Linked DNA regions of Drosophila melanogaster. The protein of the gene in region 1 interacts with the protein of each later gene in a pairwise test. Each region holds a gene or a part of one and is shown in the gene's direction. Other genes may lie near its edges.

Region 1 (6,345 bases):
CCAAAAATAAACACTAATTACAGGAACTTTGATTGAAGGCTAACTGGACGGTGGGGATTGCTACGTGATAGATGGGCAGATAGATGATAGATAGACAGGTAAACCGCTGGGGATTATGATTGCTTCAACAAAATAAGCATTTAATTGAGCTGCTTAATAATTCTAATTATTGCACCGGTGGCGGTGGCAACGCTAATTGGATTCCTAATTAAGCATACCGCCGGAAATCGCGCGCTGTCAGGGAAACTAAAGTTTCCAGGCCTGCAACTCGACCAATTACCGTTAACGTGGCGCTAATGGAGGTACCTTCTCCGGGGTCCAATACGTGCCACTTGAGAGGTGCATCGCTGTGGCATAACAATGACAGCGTCTCCACTGACCGTCGACCCGTAATTAAAACTCAATTATGTGGCTACGAAGTTGACAAAGTGGCCACATCAAAGTAGATAAATTTCATTTACCGCCTGAAAGTGCAATCATTACACTTCGTAAAACTTCGCACAGCAGTTCCGATTCGTTCACACTTGATAGGTCAAAGTGCAGATGGCAAGTCCTGCGATGGCAATCTACCAAAGTTTCCAATCACAAGTTGTCGCAATAATTGAGGACATCCAGCAGTTACGGCACCACGACCAAGGTGCTACACGTATGCGTGTGTGAGGGAATACTGCGGCAAATGCCAACCGCATTCTCAATGAGGCATCCTCAAAACGTGTCCCACCAGCAACAAGTTCGCCATTTCTGCGTAACGCATCGATAGAAAATATATAATTCAAGCCGAACACTAAAATACCAGAGAAATCACATGTAGTACCCAAAAATAAATAAATTAGCAGATCTAAGGCCAATTTCAGGTAACTCAAATATAATGTGGTATAAATTTCCGCACAATATAAGCTGCATTGAATGAAAGCTTTCTTTATATTTAACTTACTAAATGAAGTATAAACAAATAAATAAAAATAGATTTTAAACTATGTTTTAGAATAATTTTTGATTAGATAATGTAAACATTTCCAGCTGATCAGCCATTTGTCTTGTCGACCTCTTGAAAAATTGAGAGTAGAGCAGGACCACAATTTACTGATGGAATTTTTACACAAGTTATTTATTTTGTTTCTATTGCTGGCCGCTTCATTCATGACGACTTCATTTACTTGACGAATGTGCCCGTGCAGGACGAAGGATCCACGCTGCTGGCTTTATTAATATTTATAAGTTGGACTCTCTAGCAGGAGCTTAGCCAAAGCCGCAATAATTCCCCCGACCACGCAATCAAAATCAACCCTCTTGGAAATTCCGATGGCTGGCTGGAGACAGCCACTTGGTTCGCTTAACATTTTCAATTTCAATCTAATCTAAATTACATGATATGCGCACAATTTGAACGCTAATGAGCAAGGAATTTGTGGTAAGATGGTGGCGGAGCAACGCTGCGTATGCGCAACATATTGCGTGTGAATTTTAATTAAAAACTTTTCTCACTTTCCAACCGAGATAATCTCTGTCCCACCGCCTTTTCCTCGAAATCTCCCACTGCGAATCGGATGTCCTTTCGTGTTGGCTGCTGTTGTTGCTGTTGCTTCGATTGCATCGATTTTCTGCTAACTTTGAACGGTATTTGAAAGGAGCTTAAGCTTGTTTCTTTTATTTGCGCTACCTTCGCGCGAAACCCGATTCCATGGGCAGCAAACAGGACCAGGTTGGCTAACAAATTCTTGGAGCTATTCAGCGGTTAGCGGTTGGGGTAAACAACTTCTATAATCACTGTAATGCGATCAAGCATAAAGATGGCTCTAGCTGACCGTTTATTTAGATGGGTAAACGGGTAATCCTATTTTTAGCCATGTTTATTAGACGAGAACAGCTTCTTTCACTAATGCGATTTAAAGAAAGCCTAATTTTTTAAAATAACTATACTTAATTAGTTGCAATCTCTTTCACATTTACATCACCCCTGCTAAGTAGAGGGTATGTGGTAGTCGAAGAACTCGTCTATAGCGCCCTCCCTGATTGTTGTAAAGTTGTAATAATAGTAATAAGTTAAAATATGTTGGTAGAGGATTTCAATGAGGTATTTTATTTCAATAAAATTCCGCTTAGAACATTCACCATTCGTTGCATTCCGTTCGCCCTCTAACCTGTTAACTTGGTTTTAATTTACACTTAATTACGTGCATTGCCGTGGCAAAAGTGCAACAGATTGCTTCGTGGATTGCTTCATTAATTGTCCTCTGTTGTGGCAACTACCATCCTGCCGCATCTCCCCTCTAATAACACATTACCAAGCTGCTGGTCCTGCTATTTAATGGCCTCACATGTGTCGGGAGATAGGGACAAAAATTAACCTTTGACCTGAATGTGTACGGTATCGCGTCACTTGGCTGTGCAAACAAATTGTTTCACGTCAAAAAGTTCCATTATTCGATTATGAGCCGGTCGAATAATACATTAGTAATGCAATTAATTAGTATATAAAGAATTCCGTATTCACACCGCCATCGGCACCAAATGATTAACTTCCATGGCAATTGTTTTGCTTAGGGCCCAACCACTTGCTTGATTCCCTTCCCATAACTGCTCTTTTCTGGCCAAGAGCACCTGCCCGCTCTTTGGAATTCCCAGTTGCTTTCTCTTCGTTTGCCCACGCAGCCGCATCAAGCTATTCCGAAAATAAAGCAGCCGACTTGTGGACGTTGCGTATACGCAGTGTTGTCGCCGCCGTTCGTTTGGAACCACTGTTCAGTCGCTAGCTGGACGTGATGTTGGCCGGAAGAGCAGCACGGCAAACAAATAAAGACTTAGCCAAAACAGCTGAACAATAGCTGAGCTGAACTGAACTCCAGGCCGTAACAAGTGTGGCAGTAGTTAGGTGTTCGTGCCGCTGAAACAACAAGTATCCAGCACAGTACTTTCTATTTCGGTTAGTCGGTCGGTCGGTTGGTCGTTTGGTCGGTTTGTCCGAGTGTGTGCGTGTTGGCCACCTAAGTCCTGGTGCGTGCGTGTGTGTGCGCGCTAACTGTGTTTTTGGATGCAAATCAAAGCGCAGCTCACCTGAAAAGTATGCTTTAAATTTTTACTATCGCCACTCCGCGTGTGTACTTGTAACTCTGAAAAGTTTCTGTTTCTGTGTTTATTTGACTACCGCGGCGCATTTACATAAGTAAACTTTGGCATGCGCGCGGCCTGCTGCCGCTGATGTAGATGTAACGACGTCGACGTTGGCACTGAATAATTAATGCAATCAAGCAATTTGAACCCGTTCCGCCGTGGAGTGTGCCTGGGCCAGTGCCACAACGGTTTCAACGTGACCATAATGAGAGCTCCCCAAGCTACAAGTCACTAAGTGTGCCCGAAAAGCCCAATAACACAAAGAGATAACCTGACCAAAATTCGCAACAAAAAAAAAAAAAAAATACAACACACAAGAAGCCTGAGGAACAAGGAGGGAATACACTATATTTTTCGACAGAACTATAGCTATACTATACCATATTAACAAGAGAGAGTCTACTATATATGTACTTACTTAGTGCTAACTGACCACGCATATTCCAATCATAAATTATCGTGATAAAAATTCTTAGGCGCTGAAAGCCAATTTCAATTTTCACCCAAAAACGATAGAAGAAGAAAAGCCCCTGAAAGAGAAGAGAGAGAGAGAGAGGGATATACGCTGTCTGCAGACCAACAAATTACTAATAATAATTTTTAGATTTAAACGACAACAAAAACGAGACTAACAAACATCTGCTGGCCACACAAGGAACGTATACAAATAAATGCGGGTATATAGCAAAATGTAGACAGCTTGGCAAATATATTTCGATTAAAATATATACCAAATTGAACTGGACAGAGCTTTGACACGAAAACCAAATCGTTTGCCAAGTGAATTTTATGAAATTCGCCTGATTATTGCGGCAACAATAGAGATAAGATTCGGAATCAGAGGAAAAGCGTTTAAGTGAATGGGAAAAAGCAGCCAACAGGTTGTCGACGACAGATAAGGCCAACATTTTCTCGAAATTGGTAAGTTGAAATCACAGCAGTGTAGAACGAATGAAAAATAATGAATGTGGCACTTCATTTCTACCACTTGGAAGGATAGTCTGATTTAGAAGTTTATTAAATGGTATGCTAAGTTTTGTCAATGATTTTATTTTGCTAAGAGCTTTGCCATCAACTAATAAAGGAGATTAAGCTTTGAAAACTTGATTGAAAATGAATTTGGGTTTCTGTGGAAGCTTAAGTTTTGCCAAAGTGAAAGAAACTACTGCAAGTTTTGAATAAACTAAATAATTTCTTTAGCAAAGTTAAAGTTTGACAAAAATCATTACAAACTAAAATGGTCATTTGGCTACTTTTAAAGCAATTTTCTTAATTGCATATATTTCGTGTTGGCAGAGTGCATTTAAAATTCTTTTTAAGTTTACTCACCTCACAATTCCCAAATCTGTATCCATTAATTAAGTGCAACTACTTACAGCTGAGAAATGTGATTAAAAGAATGCTATGCAGTTAAGAAATTAAAGTGTCATTGGTGACTTTCTTCACTCCTGCAAGTTCGTCGCTTTTTGCAAAGGTCCTGCGCACGGCTGCCCAATTCCTCCATCCATTATCCACGTAATCCCACTCGTCACGAGATTCCATCCGTCAAATCCCATTCCCGCCCAGCAGCAACATGTAAATGCTCCTGTAGTTCCGGAACATATGTGTACGAAATGAAAAGATCCCAAGGAGTAAACTGTAAACTGTAAAAATACTGACCATGTCGCAAAGTGCCATAAACAATTTTACAACATTTTTGCTGTCATAAGATTAAATGTGCATAAGCTGGAGGAGGGGCAAGGACAAGAAGAGCGCACTCCTCCGCAGGAGGATGAAAAAAAAAATGGAAAGTGCTAGGGAAAAAAAGGAGAAAGCTGTAGGAAAAGCTGGGCAATAGAGCACTGCGATGGGCGAAAGCGAAACAAAAGCAATAACTATAAAACAAACACGACAATTCGCTTCAACTTTGGGGCTACAAAAAATGGCTGAACACACACAGACAGAGGCAAACCGACTTTATGTGAAGAAAGAAAACAACGCTGAAGAACAACGGAGACTCACAGATACGAATACACTGGGTGAAAACTGAATGATTTAAATTACACAATAAAAGTATTGATTTAAGAGTGCTGGGCTCCGGTACACTGCAAGATAGGTTAGACAATGTAAACTTTAAAATATTTAAGATTTGGAAACTCCTTGGGGTTTAAAGGAATATTATATGGAGAGTATTTATGTTTTTCTCTGTAATATGTCTTGCATCGCTTTGGATTTTCTCACTTGAAGGACCCCACTTCGATTCCAGCACTTTTACTCGCGGTGTACACATACACAAGCCCATGTGCATTCATTCTGAGCTCCTTTTTTATGGCCGCTGGCGGTGGGTGTTCGTTGGTATGGTTTTGTTGAGGGTCGACTGGGCTATAAAGGTATGCAGCAGGCAGCAGACGACAGCATCCAATTACAAAGTGAATATTTCGAGACTTGTTGGTTTGACTCCCGCCTTTACGCTCGGGCAGCATATCTCGGTTTCCTTCCATGTTGACCTTAACATTTATTTCATCTGCTCTCTTCTCGGCTTTGTGTGGCAGCCTTAAAGTGACTTTCAAGTTTTTGGTACCGCCGTTACTGTCGCTGACCTGATTCTGATTTCTTCTTTAGTTGCACGAAAACGAGACCACCGAAAACACCGGGTCCATTCCCAAATGAAAACATTTTACGGGGAAGCCCCCACGGAGAGTGGTGTTAGTAGGAGGTCCTTGGGGGGAATAATGAGGTACGCGACCGTGCCCACTTGAGCACGTTCTACATGAACTGCTGGCCCAGCCGGCAATGGTGATGATGGCATGCTAATAACGTCCAACGACCACCTTCCTGAATGGCCAAAATACAAAAAATAAAAAAAGAAAACAAAAACGCTAAAAAACTGAGAAAACGACCAACATGTTTCGCCACGCTTTCGCATTTATACATGGCCTGTCATTTTAACATTATCCGCGCGAAAACCCCCCGATAGCTATCGGTGCGGTCCTGCTGCTATTTGACTCCGGGACTTTCCCCAAAATTTCGAGGGCCAACAAGTGTCCGCTTCAATGTTTGGGCAGCTGTGTGAAATTTAATTAGATTTACGACGGCTTTGTCCATCAAACACTGCCCGCTCACCCGTGGCGTATACGCAATGTCGCCATGCTGGGAGGTGGAGCACACACACAGGAAGCAATCACCTGCTGACCAACAAAGAGCACATTGTCCCCTCCTTTTGTGCCATGATTTTTGGACACTTTGTATGCCACG
Region 2 (6,634 bases), on another chromosome or scaffold:
AAGCTAAATGGAGCTCAGAATCTGAGGTCGCAAATCTGCGAAATCTGCTGGACATTCGACTCTGGTGTAGGGACGCGAATTTCATCATTTCTCTGGCATATATATATGTATATAGATATTGGGGAATAAAATTAGAAGAAATTGTTTGATTGTTTAAAATATGGGCGTGACCGTTTTGGGTGTTTTGTAGGTGTAAGGAGGGGCGTGGCAAAAGTGTTTTTGGTATACCGACAGAAATTGGTAAAACAAACAATAAAACCAAGAAAAATCAAAACATTTTTCAAAAGTGTGGGCGTAGCAGTTTTGGGAGGCTTGTGGGCGTTAGAGTGGGCTTGGCAGCATATGGCCAACAATCTCGCGAGGCATCTATGTATATCTCTAGGACAGACGGACATGTCTAGATCGCCTCAGCTATTGATTCTGATTAAGAATATATGTATATACCTCATATAGTCGAAAACGCTTCTTTCAGCCTGTTGTTCTGTTCTGTTACATACTTTTCAACGAATCTAGTATATAGTATATCTAGTATATACACCACGAGTAACGGTTATAAAATGGAAGACTATCATATATGTACATACATAGCCCGAATATTATAGATTGGATATATTCTTAAATGGGTAAATACATACATATATGTTCGTTCACTTTTTGTTATAACAAAATAAAACTAGAATACTTATATATGTAACTAATTGTAGCCGAAAACAGTTTTGAAATTGGATTTCAATTAATTTCATTAATAGGAGAAGCTGTTGCGATGATATGATCGTTACATAAAATTATGAAAAAATATATAAAAACTTTATGTATTGTCTTCTATTGCACCATATATTTAAAGTGCCGTAAACTGTAATCTTGGTGCGGTTTAAAATTAATCACCTATCGCCTTGCAGAGCCATTAGCACCTCAACTGATAACGATGATTCAGCCCGGCCCCCAAAAAGCCTCAAAACAAGATAAGTGCAAGTACAAGATTGTTTATTACTGGGCGCTCAGGAAGGGCAAGAAAATCGAATGAAATACATATTTATATTTATTAATAAACAAAAATGTGTGAGGATTTTAAAGATCCATAATAGGGAATAATAAAAATACGCGTATTTATATTTATATCTATCTATGTATAATATATACACAAGATCAACATCGGTTAAAGGTCTACTATTTTATAGTTATGATTACTATCACAATGGGAACGGCTAAATGCCGCAACAGGACCGCTGGCCCGCAGGATCTCCGGGATCCGGGGCCTCCGAGTCATCGGAGTTGTTAAGGTTATCCGTATCCGGATTCTGGAGGCGAAGTGGACTCGCATCCGGTTGCCGTTGGCTCAACTGCTCCAGCATCAGCTGGGTCAGGAGCTCGAAGAGCTCAGCCACCCCCTCGTTCTCCTTGGCCGAAGTTTCTACATATTGAGCGCCAACCGTGCGCGCATATTGAAGGGCCTCATCGTGCGTTACTGCTCGCTGTTCCTCCAAATCAGTCTTGTTGCCGACGATTATTAAGGCAATCTCCGTGCCGCGCATTTGCCGGAGCTCCCGCACCCAGGATTTGACCTTCTGGAACGAGTCTCGGTCCGTTATGTCATAGACGAGCAGGGCGCCATCGGAGCCGCGATAGTAGATGGGTCCCAGGGCGTGGAACCGCTCCTGACCAGCCGTGTCCCAAATATTCAACTGCGCCCTTCTCCCATCCTCCAGGGACATCTTGCGGCTGACAAAGGAAGCCTGCAGGGTGCTTAGGTGCTGGGCATTGAACCGGTCTTCCATGTAGCGCAGCACCAGCGACGTCTTGCCCACACAACCTACAATTAAGGGGTTAAAGCTTTCAGGAACTAATTAGGTTTGTTTAGCTGCTAAACGTACCTTCGCCCAGCAGCACCGCCTTGAAATTAAGCGTGGGGCCGTTCCTCGTTCTGCTCGAGCTCATTGTGGTTTCCCAATAGCTAGGTGTCCTACCTTGATACGCATCAGTTTTCAGAGGACACGGAAAAACAAAAAAAAAACAAGAGGTAATCGAAAAGATTAGGTTTTTACGAGACCGCCAGTGTGGCTGTCTACCAGCACTATTGTAATGGCACTCGGCGATAAATGTTGAATAAGCGAGAAGTCACATACGTATCTGGCCACACTGCGGCCTCAAGCAAGGCCGAGAACTCAATGTCGCCGCAGTCATACATGAAAGATAGAAAATACAATTAAGCGATTTTAAATTAAACCATGTTTTAATTATGAGCAAAATATCGATGCATAGCCTAACATCGATATCAATAAAACCATCGAATGTATGCAGTATGGTGTCGATGAATCGATATTTTGCACGTTACTAACACTGAAGCACGCAGGGGTCCGGACGAAGCATAACATAATAATTTTTGGTTGTTATCTATTAAAAATTGCTGACCATGGCCTATGACTTGAAGAAGGAGTCAGACGTGAAGGAGTACGTAGAAAAGCTGGGCGTGGAATATCGATTCGGGTGCTATTCCGAGAAGAAGCCGGAAGGTGAGTGCGGCGGCGGCAGCGATAGCGACGGCGGCAAAAACAATTGAGGTCTATAACCTCCGATGTGCGGGAGGACAATTCGCGGGGCTTGAAGACATTGCATTTATGAGATAGCTAACTGGCGTTCTGCATTGCAGCGTGCCACTTGCTGGGCGACTACTTGGAGGGCATCAAGAAAGACTTTGAAAAGGCCTCCAAGGTGTACAAGTCGACTTGCGACGACTATGGTTACGCAAAGTCCTGCTACAAATACGGCAACTACAGTTTCCTTGGAAAAGGCAAGAGCGGTAGCAAGGGGAATCCACAAGTGGCCTACGAGTACTACGAGAAGGGCTGTAACTTAAACGACTCGGACGCCTGTCTTCACTCCGGCCTGCTGCTCGTTTCAAAGTCCATGCCTAGGGAGATCGACTGGAATGTGCCCAAGGTAAAGGTGTCGTATGGCGATCACGGTCCCAAGCCTTCAATAAAAGGCTAGCTCTTGGAACTGTTCAATTTGCTTAAAGTGCAACTATGTGCTGCAGTACATTCTCTCATTTGCCCCACCTGTTTCTCATTTGATCCTTGAAATCATAAGTCATTCGTATCGTGTCCAGATAATTGAACGTTTAATTGTAATTTTCTGATTATGTTCCAATGGATGTATAGACATATGTATGAATATAGTTTAGTTTGATCCAATTTAAAACTGTTCAATATGACCCCAGCAGAAAAGTGTTTAAATTTTATTTGATTTTGTGATTTGACATTATAATTTTACAACACCCGCAGGGCCTGGAGTTTCTGACCAAAAGCTGCGACTTGAACAACGCCACTGCCTGCTTTTATCTCTCCGGGATGCACATCTCGGGCGTGCAAAAGAAGGCGGATCAGAGTGCTGTCACTGCATCCTCCGGAAGTGGTACATCATCACCCCCCGCCGGACAACCGCCTTTAAAGGACTCCGACTATATTGTTCTAAAAGACATGAAGAAGGCTTTCCAGTTTGCCCACAAGGCTTGCGAGCTTCGCAATATGTATGCGTGTGCCAATCTTAGCCAGATGTACGCCCGGGGCGATGGGATCGAGAAGAACGAAAAGGAAGCGGAGAAGTACAAGAAGCTGGCCCTAGAAATGCAGGACGAGGTGAAGAAGCAGCATGATACGTTAGGGTTCCAGCAGGGCGTGGGCATGCCTAATTGATAATGCTTGATTCCTGATATTATCTGCTGCTACTGTTTTTAGACCTTGCTTCAGGTCAGGTCAGGTTTTTCTTTACCTTCTAGCCCTTTTCAGTAATTTTCAGTCAGTCTAATTTTGGTAGTTAAGCTAACTAACTTGTGTTTGAGATTTCTGTGTACATAGCTGGCACTTGCATGCGAAAGAGCGAGAAAGAGAAAATAAGTAACAATGGAAATTCCTAGATTTAATTGTTAAAGTTATTAAGTGATGATGAACCCTTTAAAAATTTTGTTGATACCTTATATGAATATACAAACAAGTCTTACCAAAAAAGTAGACAAAAATCTTCAGTTAATTGTGTTTTAGTTACGGTTGCTTGTGCACAAACTGTTGTTCTAATATTAATGTAAGAACCAGTACATTTTTCTGATCAGAATCGCCTGCTAATCCGACAGCCTCATTTTTTTTTTAAATCTAGCACATTATAACGTAATTAATCGTCTTGTAATATCTGCATGTCCTTTCCTCGAATACCTTCTCATGAAGATGTGCACTACATTCGTTCTAAAGAATGTAAAAGGAAAAATAATGTGATTCTGCTTCGTCCACAAGTCTAAAAAACTATTGCGTTTCTACACATACAAGTCTTTCAGGCGTAAAGATGTCTTTATAAAACATTCCCAAAATATTTTAAATTTGCAGCTAGAATATAAGTCGGAATGGAATCATATATGTAGATATGTAGCTGAGAGAAATAGTCGAAACCTTCGGGGTTTTTGATCAAAAAGTTATTTTTGGTTTATACAGTATATTAAATTTCGGCTGGAACTGGATCGAAATTGCTATATCTGCTTTTGGCTGGACCTAAATGAAAATTGGTCTACTTATCATATACATAGCTGCCATGGTAATAGTCGCACGAGAAATCCGAATTTCAAATTATTAAGGTAACTTAAGTTAAAGTTTAAAACAAATGTTCTTCAAACAATTTATTAAAATATGTGTATAAAATATTCGATTTTCTTTTCAAATTTCATTGGGATACTATACCAAAACGGTTTGTAGCGTTCGGTTAATGTCAGAGGCCATAAACTATTTAAGCATAACAATAGCTATTTCCTTTTAGAACCATTACTGCTCAAAGTATGAGGTATTCTGGTATTACTACCAACCAATCAAACACCTTAAATGCCTTTTTTAAAATTTTTATGTTAAACAAAAACAGCTTCTAGCAAGGTGGTAAAAATTTATTTTTCCTGGTAGCCAAAAATTCTAAAACAATAAGTACAATAATACCCAATTATTTGTCTATTAAAGAAACATTGGTTAAATGTAATTGTCATGATTTGTTTTCGAGAAATGGGCAAGATTTTGTTAACGGAAAACAATAATATTTTAAGCATATTAAAAAAAATTGTAACAAAAGTATTGACACAGGCGTCCCCGCCAAAGGAATAGGCAACACTTCGCAAAAATGTGGCTGTGATGAACTTTATGGGACCTCACAGACTCAAACTGTGTGCAAGTACTAAAATATCCCTGGTACGAAGGCCTTTTAGTGCCATTATGATAGAACTTTACAAATTCTTACAAATATTATCAAATTGTAAAATATTCATACGAATCATTAAAAAATTAATATGATAATTGTGTAATCTTGTTGTAAGGAATTTAAGTATGCATGTAAATGGTTCTGAACGGACTGTATCTATATACAGTCTGTTTGTGCAACACTTTCTCTGTGTTCATTGTCAGCTTGACCTACTGTCATTTCAAGAAATAGACGCTTTATTAAAAACTCTCTTGTCCAATTAGTTGCTGTTTAGTTACAATAAATGATAATAGCTCCTTCCCGCTCTATCTCACAATATTCTTTCATATGTATGTATGTACATATTTGCATTCACATACAGCTGCGGTTAAAATAATAGCACTACTGCAGGTGGAAAGTTCATTTCCTAAAAAAAATTATTAAATGTTTATATTTTTTAAAGTAAGTTTGCATGAATAATAAGTACCATATGTTGGCTCTCTGAACAAGAAATTTTTAGTCTCTCAATGTAACGGTTCTTTTTGTTTTTGGGCACTTGCTGCTAAAGTGCGCGAAATGAGGCGGTAACAAAAATAGCACTGACCACGTATTTACTGAATAAAATTAATAGGAGTGATTGCTTTGGGTTTTTTTTCGACAAATTTTGAAAAAATGAGTTGTATTAAAGGTTTTTATTGATTTTTTTCCAAACGAAGTCCAAAAATTCTCTAGTTATGGGTCGCGGAAAGCATTGTACCGTCGAAAAAAGAAATTTGATTAAAAACTTGATCTCTGAAGGTAAAAAATACGCTGAAATTGGTCGCATTGTCGGTTGTTCAAGTAAAATGATCCGCAAAGCACTGCTGTTTGTCGAAAAGAACGAAACACGGCGAAGAAAGCCCTCAATGTCCAACGTGGAGATCAAGCGCTTGGTTCGGCAAGGCAAGAAGGAGCCTTTTAAGCCGGCGACGGAACTCAAGAAGGAGCTTCAGATAGCTGAAAGCGTGGAAACTGTTCGCAAACGCTTAGGACAAAACAACCTTAATGCGTGCAGCCCAAGAAAAGTCCCGCTTTTGACTGTTAAGCATGTGGCAAAGCGAACCGAATATGCCAAGATTCCCAAGGACTGGGTTGTGGAGAAGTGGCACAACATTTTGTGGTCAGATGAGACCAAAATTGTGTTGTTCGGTGGAAAAGGCTCTTGGTCTTATGTTCGGCGTCCACCACAAACTGAATATAATCCTCGCTTCACCTTTAAGGCGGTAAAGTACGGGGGATCAAACATAATGGTATGGGCGTGCTTTTCATACTATGGAGTAGGTCCGATCCATTAGATTCAAAGCATCATGGATCAGCACATTTACACAGATATCCTGGAAAATGTGATGCTGCCATATGGAAGGGATGAAATGCCGTTGGTTTGGACATTTCA
Region 3 (4,239 bases), on another chromosome or scaffold:
TTATTGGCATCTTTATTCGACACAAATAATCCTCATAATACATAGTTCAGTAGGTTCAACTTTAGATTTCGCCTGATTTCTTCATAGTATGTAAATACATTTAAATACAAGCCACAATTATGGTTAATGGCATGCTAAACATCTAAATAGATGCTGCAATAAACCGATTATGTAAACGACAAGGCATCGTTGGGAAATGCGTTCCGATTTGTTTAAAAAAAAATGTAGAAATGGTATGAGCAGACATTTTTGTATTAGAATGTATAGAAAAGATAGAAATTAACTTGTAGTTTAATCAAATAAATAAAGATTATAATTTATGAAAATGTTTAAAAGCATTTAATAAATTAAATTTCCTACATATGTCGAAGTGGAGTTTTGAATATTAACTTAAATATATTCCTTTTTTTATAATCTAGCCATCTCAATATGTGAGTTGTGAAAATTTCTGTAGTAAAATATGCAATTTACGTACGTCCTTCTAATGATTTCACAGCTTTTCTTTAAACGATATATACTATACATACATATATTTTAATTTAATGCCTTGGACAATTTATTGCTGCGCTGACATAATTCAAACTCAATGTCGTTTTCGGGGATGTGGCGGAGTCTCCTTCATGTGCGTCCATTTATCGTCGCCTTGCTCCTCGATTTTCAGTACTCTTTCTAAGGGTATAGTGTTTCTTTATTGTCCGAAAATGGAAGCCCTAGTTCAACATTTGAGTATATAGAAATAAGAGTATATACATATTTCCTTGAGTCATCCAATTCAGCTAGAGTATTCCGGCCATCGGCATTCCCAACTTATTCTCAAGCTGAAAACTGTCAGGCTTCAAGTGTTCCTGCGGGGTTTGGTTTGGTTTTGGGTGGCCAATTGGGATTTGGTCGAAAATGATTATAAATGGTTTTTTAATTATACTTGTCTGCATATTTTCTCATTTGCCAAACAAACGCGGCGCTGTCGATTTTATTGTTCACATGGCAAATGGTTAATGCCGAATGGAAAATGGTAAAATGCGAAAAATGGAAAAATTATTGCCCGTCTGCCGCTGACAGCTTGCCCCCATCTGGCTGAAATGGGGGATTTCGAATTAAAACTGCTTTCGGTCACTAAAAATACTCAATTGTTTTGCCAATTACCCAGCGGAGTTATTTATGCCAGTTATGTAATTCGAGTGGCACACATGTGCAGCGTTGTAAATTGAAATACATGAAAATGGAGCAAGTGGAAAGTATATTTTGGGTACTTGCAGTGTTATAACATTTTACTGCTTTTTGTTCAACAATTAATTGGTTATTTAATTAGCATAAGTTGCTGCTTGCGTCATATTGTTCTATAATATTGCTAGTTAAATATTACATTACATCAGCCAGAGATAGCAACTATTTATGGATTTTGAGTTTGGTCCACCAAACTCTATTACATATTATTCTCAGCCAAAGGGATTTCTGGTTTAACCCTTTGAGGCCTGCTAAGCAGGTCGCTGAACCCCTCATCGTTTCGAGGGCTGTTAAATTAATTAATAGACTAAATGCGGTCGGTTCGGCTGGTTAATCCCACGACAACAAGCCGCAACTTGTTTGCCACCACGTCGAAAGTGGCTCCTTGAAATGGCTACCTGATGCGGGAAACCCACTTCCAGATGGGTTGATCCGGAATGGACAAATAGCAACTTTAGCAGGTAGCAATGGCAATCGATATTGGTGTCTCTTATCGCATAATGCCGCCTGATCCCACCCGCTTGACATGCTCGTATTTGCCCAAGCAGGTTGATTTTCCACATAGCCCAACATTTGTTGACTCATTTCGGCTGCTAGATAAGGCGCGAATCGGCAAATGGATGGTGATAGACGAACAGCCCAGCTTGACCTTGGGATTATTGTGGATTTAATGACGCCCTTATCAGTTGCATTGAATCGTATCTCTTGGCTTAGAATATCTTTTATATTATGGGGAGTATTTGCATACCGACATACATATGTATGTAGGTAGCCATTGAAGAAACCCACATATTGGTTCGCACCTGATCCTTTTGTTTTTAAATTTGACCAATTATCAGGTAGACTCAGTGCGTCTGCTACCCTAATCCCTTTGTTTACATATCTGCGATTCGTTGGCCAATCCGGATGCAGGTAGGCGGTGTCCAGCAAGGCGACAAGATTGAGGAAAACAAGATCATAAATCCCAGTGACCGCCATTCATGAAGGTAGAACCCGCGAATAACCCATCCAGTGTCCAATGGCAAGCTACCTGCGGAAATGGTATAAAACGGGGCTGACATATTGCCTAAGGCAGCATTAGCACACGAAATCTCGACGAGAGCAGTCACAGACCACGTCACACATCGAAAAAAATCACCATGGAACGGAGTCATCTTTACTTGCCCACTCTGAGCTACGCGGCCATGGGTCACGTATACGCACCGTATCGCGGAAGCAGTTCACCCGCACTATCGACAGCATCGTCAACATCATCGAAGCCGGAGCAGATCGAGGAGCTGGTGTCCCAGCAGCTGCATCATCTCAAAATGCACTACGCCGACGAGGAGCAACGCTACGTAGACCAGATGCTCCTGGAGAATCCCATTGTTGTGGAGCGCCGTGCACCGCCGCCGCTGAAAACGGAGCTTGCTATGGATTGCCGCGGATCGGGTTCCGGATCAGGTTCCGGTTCTGGTTCGGATGTCAAGGATGCCCAGCGTCAGAGGGCCGAGTCGTGCCGCAAATCCCGCTACAACAACAAGATCAAGAAGGCCAAGCTGCGCTTCCGGCACAAATTCGTCAGCGGGCAGCTGAAGAAGAGCGCCGTCATGTTGGACACGATGCGGGATGTGATTGCCCAGGCGGAGAGGCAGCTGCTCGAGCGGGGATATCCCGCCGCCACACTCGAGCGGATGCGGGCCACTTTCGGCCTGGAAATGGAGCAGTGATATCATAGTGTAGCTATGTGTCGCAGGAACGGATCCCTGACTAGTCCAGCATTAGCCATACCACTTTTTTTTTTTGTTGACTATATCTAGTATTTATCTAAGCATATTATTAAATTTTTAAATAAAATTAAGAATCATATTGAAAACGAATGCTTTCTTATTCAAATATTTGTTATAGGTTCACACGATCATATGGAGTCAAGGATAACTTGTTAATTTCACTTTACAAGAATTTCCCATAATTTGGATGCATTTATTCTGCATTTAACGCATCGGCAGTCTTGGGGTTTCCTTCGCCTGGCCGAAGGTAATCCCATCGGAATTGGGCCAATGCAATGCACCCATTTCGACTTGCTTAAGTTCAGTTCATTTGATCCGACATGATTGCACTTCGCTTTCCCCGTTTCACGTTTTTCCCCCTTTCCATTCTTTTTTTCCCTTTTTTTTTTTGGCTTGCGAACAATTTGCGTTGCCAAAAGCAGCAAATGCAATGGAAGTAATGGCCTTAAGAGCAGGTTTCTGTAAGAGATTGTGGCTAAATTTAGTGGGGCTACTACTGCAAATAGCACCCCACTTTCTGGTTGGTGTTTTCATTTAAGAACTGCGAACTGAACTTGGAAGCTTTACTAAATGCTTGCCAAGGGTATATACTATGTATATATATATACAATATAATTTTAATAACTACATATATTTTTTAAGTAATTTCTCATAATATCTTGATGTCTGCGTAATGAGAAGGATAAATATAGATACTTCTGATTGTTTTTTACCCCAAAAAGTTATTCTATTTCACGCCGTATCTTTTCAACTCTTTAGGTATCAGTTAGTCGTTACTACTGTTCACAGATATTTTTTAATAGCACAACATTAAGAATGAATGGAGGAGCAAATAATAGGAATGTAAAAACGAGAGTATAAAACGCATTTCGCCACAATGGCCAATCGAATTTCAAGCTGATGCTCGCTCAAAAATTTCATTTTCACGTGCCAGGTTACAAATGATTTCATCGCTGCAGTTTTCCTCCGGCTAAATCCCCACTATCCCCCCATTTCCCTGGATTTTCCAACTTTCTGTTGCTGCTTCTTAACTACGCACGTCTCACTCTTATTCGTTCACTCAAGTGCACACAATTCAGCGATTCAACGTCATCAGTGCGGGGAAAGGTACTTCGTGTACCTAACTGTGGTACAGCATTAATTTTGTTACCTAAAGGCGATATTATGAGCTACAAATATATGTATATTAAATGAAATTAAAAAAAAGACTTTTCTACTTTAAAATACGGAAAACTTTTGAAATAAT
Region 4 (6,932 bases), on another chromosome or scaffold:
AATTGCAGGGATCTTTAAAGCCAACTGAAAATTATGATGGTATACAAATATGCCAATATTTGAGGTATATAAATCCATATAAGTTGATTAGTACATTCAATGTGAATATACATTCTTGGTATTCGGCTTATTTGCCCAACTATTAAGTGCTTATTAATGGAATTACCCTTGGTAAATCCAAAAATAGATATCGAACAAATTGGACAATGACTTCCATTAGACAGGCACATAAATCAAGGAGTAACCCGCTGACCTTCGGTATATCCGAATACCAATGGTATTCCCGCGTTTTTTAACTTATTCAAAACTGGCCCTGCTCCGAGTTGTAATCCCCTCCAGAATGCCCGCAACCCGACTCACCCTTATGGAATCGCCGAGAGTGCGTCTCTGCTGCATGTAGGACTGCATGGCGGATCCATTGTTGTTCCCGGCGGCTGTGAAGTTGCTGTTGCTATTGGCATTCGCATTACCGGACACGGATACGGTGACACCGACGGCCGGATGGCCGTGCGCGGCATGCGGATGCGAATGCGGACTGCTGCCGGACGAGGTGATCGATCCCTGTTGCTGCTGCTGCTGCGCCTGCTGCTGTATATCCGGCACGGAGCTGAGACTCCGCGCCCGCTGGCGATCGATGGACGTGGAGTTTTGGTTGTGGTACACCTGCAGGCCGGGCAAAGTGCGCAGCAGATTGAAACCCTGACCGGTGGTATCATTGCCGCCACCGCCGCCGCCGTTACCGCCACGATTCTGGCCGGGATTCGAGTGCTGGTGTTGCTGCTGCTGCAGCGCAGAATCGGCGGCTCCTGTTGAACTGCTCGAGAATGTCCTGGAGCGTGGGCTCTGTTGGCCACTGGTCGCCGGAGTGCTCGCCTTTTGACCCATAGATGCTGATGGAATTATTAACTGGGCGACGAACCTTTGACCACCTGCGCCTGCTCCAGCTGCTGCTCCTGCTGCTGCTCCAGCAGCGCCTTCTGCAATTCTCCGCCTCCGCGAGGCGTCCTCTTTGTCTGCTCCTTCGCGTGCGAAAAACGGAGCAGACAACAATAGCAAACAATGCGATGTGCGATTTGCGATGTGCGGATGATAAATGCGGTCGCTTTTTTGTCGCTCGCTTGATAAGTGTATGTGTGTGCGTGCTTGTGTGTGTGTGTGCGAGTGTGTGTGTGTGTGAGTGTGTTTTGGTGTTTGTGCCAAAAGTGATGGTGCTCGTGGAGTGGATGGGGGGCGGGGGTGGGAGTAGGTGGCAAGGACGGGGGGCGGGCGTCAATCGGTGCGTAGTTGAGTCGCGATTGTTATTGTTGCTGCCCCGTTTTCTTGTCCTCCGCCTGCTGATTCCGGGGACTCAGATGTTTCAGATGTTTCAGATGCTCAGGTGTTCAGTTGCTCTGGTTCTCCGGTATATTTGGAACTCGAGTCGGCTCTGCGGTCGCCGGATGATGACTCCCGATGACAACCGATGACTGATGGATGATGGGCACTAGCTGCTCCTGCGCCTGCTACTACTTGCTACTTGCCACTTGCAACGGGCTCCTGCTGCCTAATCCTATGGAATCGGATCCAAACGCTACGCGGTGCACTACTGCTGCTCTCGCCGACTAAAAAATAGGTGTGACGCGACACGACGCTGCTGGCCAATCTGCCTTGATTACACTCTCAATTTAAATGACCGTTTTCCATATTTTTTTTTAATTTTTTTTTATACATTACATTAAAAGAGTTTCTCGATATCAACAGAGGCGTTAGTCCAATTGGGAGGGCCAATCGATTGTCGACGGGTATTCTAATAAGAATGGTGTCGGTATTGTGTAGGCACCTAGCTGAGACATGAACCTAGATGGGGTATTCTTCATTTGCGCATTTATAAAATATAAATTTTAAAGTATCATTTTAATATTTTTGTTTCACCTACATGAGGTATTCGCTTTTTTCTTTCTCAAATTTATCAAATTCTTTTGCATCGATTCAATGTTAAGTTAGTATGTACTGAAACTGCACAAAACTAAAAAATTATAATTTCTAATATTAGCTAGATTTTGTGTGTTACTTAGTTCACAATGGTTTGATTGGAAATCAATTAAAAAACAAATAGTAGAATATATATGTTTAAAAAATGCATTTTCATTGCACCGTGTGCTCACTGTAGTGCACGACCGGTGGTCACACAGCTGGCCTATCGATAGCCGACTATAGTTATCGGGGCTGAGTTGAGTTGTTGAAAACACAATTCCAATTGGCCATTAAATAGTCAAATCCGCAGCTTCCCAAAACATCAGGGACTTGCATGTGCCTCCCAAGGAGCAGGAGATTGCAGCAGGAGCAGCCGGAGCAGCAGGAGTGCGATCTGGACTAGGACTCAATTCGCCCAAGCTACTGCGGCGACGTCAACAGCAATATTGATACAGTGGCACTTGGGGCTGCGTTTCCACATCCGCACCGAAGATGAGCTGGTTCGAAAAGGCCAAAACGGTGCTAATTGAGGCGCTGGACATCCAGGATGACGACAGCAAGGCGGCGGAGAAGGACTCGCCGATGGCAGGAGCTGCGAGCGATGGTGGCGCATCGCCTGGGAACAATGCAACGGCGGAGACACCTGGATCCGCTGCCACGCCCGCTTCGGATACGCCAACATTCTTTGACAATCCGCATGCCAACGAAATGGTGACCATTCCACCCACACCCACATCGGTGCCAGGAAGTGCCGCCTACGGCAAACGGCAGTCAGCCACCTCGGATTCGGTGGATCTGCTGTCCTCCCCAACCTCGCCCATCTCGCCCTGCGGCGGCGATGTCCCCTCGGTGGCCAAGCGCTTGTCTGAATCCTCGCTAGAACTCATAACGGCCACCACGGCCAGCGAAGTGGAGATGTCACCGGACACGGAGCCCTCCTTGCCCGACAGCATTGTGATAATCGCCAGCAATGACACATCCGACAATGCCGAGGGTGATGGCGAGGATGATGACGATGAGGGCACCCAGCTGAAGCGCCACATGGAGGACCACTTGAATGGTATTGGGCCTTGTCGCAATTCTCTTTTTTGTATCGTTTGCTAACTGTGTAAACCTTTCCCTCTGCAGACTCCACCAAAACCATGAAGGCTCTGGTCCTGAGCGACATCCAGGTAGCCGGTAATGCTGACTCCGATTCCACGCAGAGCTTCGAGGACATCCAGCTGCAGATGAGCCACAAGGGCAAGTCGCCCGCTCCGGCCAAGACGGGAACGGTGGACCAGAGCTACTCGTCCACCTCATCGGACATCGAGATCATCTCAAATCCGAATGGCGACTCCAGCACCAACAGCACCACCACGCGCACCAGCCCGCAAAAATTCAAGGAGCTCGCGGGCGGCAAGGTGTGCCTAAAGGCCAAGGGACATCATCGCGAGCCCTCGGAGATCTCGCTGCTGTCGGAGGACTCACAGTCGGAGCTGGATAAGCTGGTGCAACGCATCAGCGAGCTGAACCAGGTGATTGAGGCGCGGGAGCAGCGACTATTGCAATCAGAGCGCCAGAATGCCGAGCTCCTCGAGCGCAACCAGGAGTTGCGCGCTCGCGTCGAAGCGGCAGCCAATAGCGCCAACAGTCCGGATGCGGCGGATGCAGTGCAGCGTCTGTCGGCGCTGGAGAAGAAGTTCCAGGCCAGCATACGCGAGCGCGATGCCCTGCGCATCCAAATGAAGAGTCTGCGCGATGAGCTGCAGAACAAGATACCCAGGGATGAGCTAGCCGAATGCAACGAAATGATCGCCGCCCTGCAGTCCGAGGGTGAGAAGCTGTCCAAGGAGATCCTGCAGCAGTCGACGATCATCAAGAAACTGCGCGCCAAGGAGAAGACCTCGGACACGTTGCTGAAGAAGAACGGCGAGCAGATCTCGTTGCTGTCCAGCGAATCGGAGCGCCTCAAGAGATCCCTAGCCGCCAAGGAGGAAATGGAGCGCACGCAAATCGAGGCAGTTTGCCGGATGACGGCGGAGAAGAAGCGCGTGGATGAGGAGAACGCCGAGAGCCGCAGTCGCATCGAAGATCTTCAGTCCAGACTAGCTGCCCTGCAAGCCAGTTTCGACGGCCTAAAGGGAGATCTGCAGAAGCGCACGCGCCTGGAGCAGGACAGTCTGCGTGCCGAGCATCAGGAGTACGTGCAGCAGGTCTCCGATCTGCGCGAGAAACTGCGCCTGGCCGAGCACAGCCTGGCCAGAAGGGAGCAGCAAATGCGCGAGGAGAACCGCCAGCTAATGCGTCGCCTGGAAGCCGCCGAGCTGCGGGCGGAGAGCTCTACTCAAGAGCTGGGTGCCACTACCACGCCGTTGATACGACAGATCGAGTCGCTGCAGCGTACACTGGACCAGCGATCCGCTGCCTGGAACCGCGAGGAGCAGCAGCTCCTCCAGAAACTGGACGACTCACAGGTGCAACTGCGCTCGCTGCAGCAATTGGAATCCGTACAGGGCGAGAAGCAGGAGCTGCTGCGCACCCGTTGCGGCCTGCTGGAGGAGAAGCTGTCCAGTGCGCTAATGGAGGCGGAGGCCGCCAAGATGGCACTGCGTCAGCACGATCTGGAAGCGGCCAACAAGGAAAACGATCACAAAAAGTGCGTGCCATTAAACCTTGTATTGATTTACCCATTTTTAATATCTACCCATGCAAATATATTTCTAAACTAACAGACAATTGAGCCTGCTGCAGGAGGAGATTCAGCAGCAGCAGGAGAGGATTGCGAGTCTGGAGCAATTGTGCCAGCGGCAAAAGGAAGAGGAGGAGCAGCGGAAACAGCCCACGCTGCTGACAGTGAAGGCGGTCAAGGCTAGCAGTGAGTTGCAGCCACAGCTGCAAATGCAGCTGCCGAAATCCCAGGCACCACTGCGCTCCTCACCGCCCCTCAGTTTGGTGGACGACAGTGGTTCCAACGAGGAGGCCCTGGGCGGCATGATCGACTGGCAGGCGGTAATGTCGCCTAATCTTTCAAATGAAGAACCTTCTTAAGTTTCTAATTCACTTTCAAATTCAGGACGACCTCGATTGCGCTTCCAACTCGGGTCGCCAGCAATCGGGCATCATCCAAGGTGTACACCTGAGCTTTCTGGCGGCCAACACAACGACCTTTGAGCACCTGCAGGCTCTGCTCAAGCAGCGCGACGGGGAGCTGACCCACCTGCAGTGGGAAGTGTCGCGCCTGCAAGCAGAGCGAAGCGTTCTCGACGCCGAGATATCCAATCTGACCATCGAGCTGGAAACGGTAGGAGAATAGCCCATCTTGACAAGAGATAATAATGAATACTATTCGTCCAATGGTAGATGAAGGAGAAGCAGCAGATGTACGAGGTAATGGAGAAGGGATACGAGGATCTGCAGCATCGCTACGACGCCCTGCTCCAGATGTACGGCGAGAAGGTGGAGCGCACCGAGGAACTGGAGCTGGATCTGACCGAGCTGAAGGCGGCCTACAAGCTGCAGATCGACGAGCTGCTGGCCGCCCCGCCACCCAATCTGCAACGGCCGTCGAAGCAAACATGATTGCCGGAGCGCAGGATCGTCTCCCTGCCCGAGTTGCCATGTTTGCGACGGACGTGGCCACCGTAACGTTGCCCATCTCCGTCTCCCATTCCCAGTTGTAATGTATTATGCTTTCAATACTAATCGATACGGATCCGGTATGGGGAACCCACTTCCAAGTCCCAATCCACCCAAAACAACAAAAAAAAAACCAACACATGTACATGCGAGTATATATATTACCTATGATTTGCGTATGCTGACACCTTCTAGTTATATTATAAATTGATCGATTGTGATAATTTAATTTATATTTATATATACATAAAGTTATCGTCTATGACTATGTACAAAACTGTTTCTGTTCCGAGCAGTTTGCCAGGCGGTTGTGAAGCAGCCAGCAGAAGCAACAGCCTCTTCCAAATACATCAAATATCATTTAATACAAAGTAATCACAGGGACTCCCGCAGGATGTCCTTAATGGCCTGGGTTAGCGGAAATACAGGTTTCTCGCTGTATTTCAAGTTTGGCATAATGCTGCATGAGTTCTTGAGATCATCGGTGTTCAGCGAGAAGACCATGACGCCACCCAGATTGAGGGATTTCACATAGTTCGCCTTGCAGGCGATACTCGTTTGATTTTCGTACGATATCCACTCCTGCAGAGCGCTCAAATATGGCGAACAGCTCTCGGCATCGTAGGACAAGTTTGGCTTGAAGAACTTGGTGACACACTCACAAGTTTCGGTCAGTGTGGTGAAGCCCAGTTGGCCACATTTACCGTAACCGGAAGCAGGAGCTCCTATGCGATGATTTAAAGGATTAACCAACCTGTTTGGTGGGTGAGGAAGTATAATTAATGAGGGATTCATTCCATAATACATGCAGTTACTAACGTAAATGAGTGGCCGTAGGTGGGCAGACCCACAACCAGTCGCTGTGGCTCCAGACCGCTTTTTAGCCACCACTGAACCGTGTAATTGATGTTGAACGTGGCCATTAGCGAACGTTCCTGCGAGCGGGCATAAAGCGGAGCATTTAAGCCGGTAAATGGTGTATCCTCGCGGTAGAAGTGGAAATCATAGGACATTAGATTTACATAATCTGCGTACAGATTTATCTCTCGGATGTCGTAGGCATAGAAGGCGATTCCCTCGGGAGCAGCCACCGCCAGCGAGAGAATATCATTGGTACGCTTTTCGCGCCGCCACTCCGTTCTAATCTCGTAAAGCAGCTGCGAGAGATGCATTCGCTCACGATCGTAGGCACTCGGAAACTCCCAGTCGAGATCGATGCCATCCAAACTGGGATAGGTGCGCAATATTTCCCGGAGGGAGCGCAGGAACAACTTTCGCATGGCGTGGTTCGCCACCATGAGGGCAAATGACCGCCCACTGTCGGCGCCACCGATCCAGAGAAGCAGGTGAACCTGCGGATG

What was found.
Region 2: the proteins of Stacl (region 1) and Coa7 interact in a two-hybrid assay, tested with the Drosophila melanogaster proteins (one large-scale study listed by BioGRID).
Region 3: the proteins of Stacl (region 1) and sisA interact in a two-hybrid assay, tested with the Drosophila melanogaster proteins (one large-scale study listed by BioGRID).
Region 4: the proteins of Stacl (region 1) and Tmf interact in a two-hybrid assay, tested with the Drosophila melanogaster proteins (one large-scale study listed by BioGRID).

The regions. Positions count from the first base shown.
Region 1 is NT_033778.4:15,398,352-15,404,696, forward strand, and holds the start of Stacl (Stac-like), read left to right. Parts: upstream 1-2,744; 5' UTR 2,745-4,032; intron 4,033-6,344; exon of another isoform or gene 6,345-6,345.
Region 2 is NC_004354.4:23,011,172-23,017,805, forward strand, and holds Coa7 (cytochrome c oxidase assembly factor 7), read left to right. Parts: upstream 1-2,323; 5' UTR 2,324-2,410; coding exon 2,411-2,510; intron 2,511-2,647; coding exon 2,648-2,937; coding exon of another isoform or gene 2,938-2,988; exon of another isoform or gene 2,989-3,095; intron 3,096-3,281; coding exon 3,282-3,692; 3' UTR 3,693-5,415; downstream 5,416-6,634. Other genes in the region: Rab21, read right to left, coding at 1,206-1,810, 1,872-1,935. UniProt on the Drosophila melanogaster protein: Required for locomotion. Probably involved in the regulation of formation/maintenance of motor neurons at presynaptic terminals at the neuromuscular junction.
Region 3 is NC_004354.4:11,320,415-11,324,653, reverse strand, and holds sisA (sisterless A), read left to right. Parts: upstream 1-2,296; 5' UTR 2,297-2,363; coding exon 2,364-2,933; 3' UTR 2,934-3,075; downstream 3,076-4,239. UniProt on the Drosophila melanogaster protein: Involved in sex determination and dosage compensation. Required for proper expression of Sxl in embryonic somatic cells. Also has an essential function in the yolk nuclei. Involved in endoderm migration and midgut formation.
Region 4 is NC_004354.4:6,842,162-6,849,093, forward strand, and holds Tmf (TATA element modulatory factor), read left to right. Parts: upstream 1-2,179; 5' UTR 2,180-2,445; coding exon 2,446-3,013; intron 3,014-3,081; coding exon 3,082-4,591; intron 4,592-4,667; coding exon 4,668-4,944; intron 4,945-5,008; coding exon 5,009-5,236; intron 5,237-5,295; coding exon 5,296-5,514; 3' UTR 5,515-5,686; downstream 5,687-6,932. Other genes in the region: CG14435 (uncharacterized protein), read right to left, coding at 361-885; Cht11 (chitinase 11), read right to left, coding at 5,947-6,325, 6,391-6,932.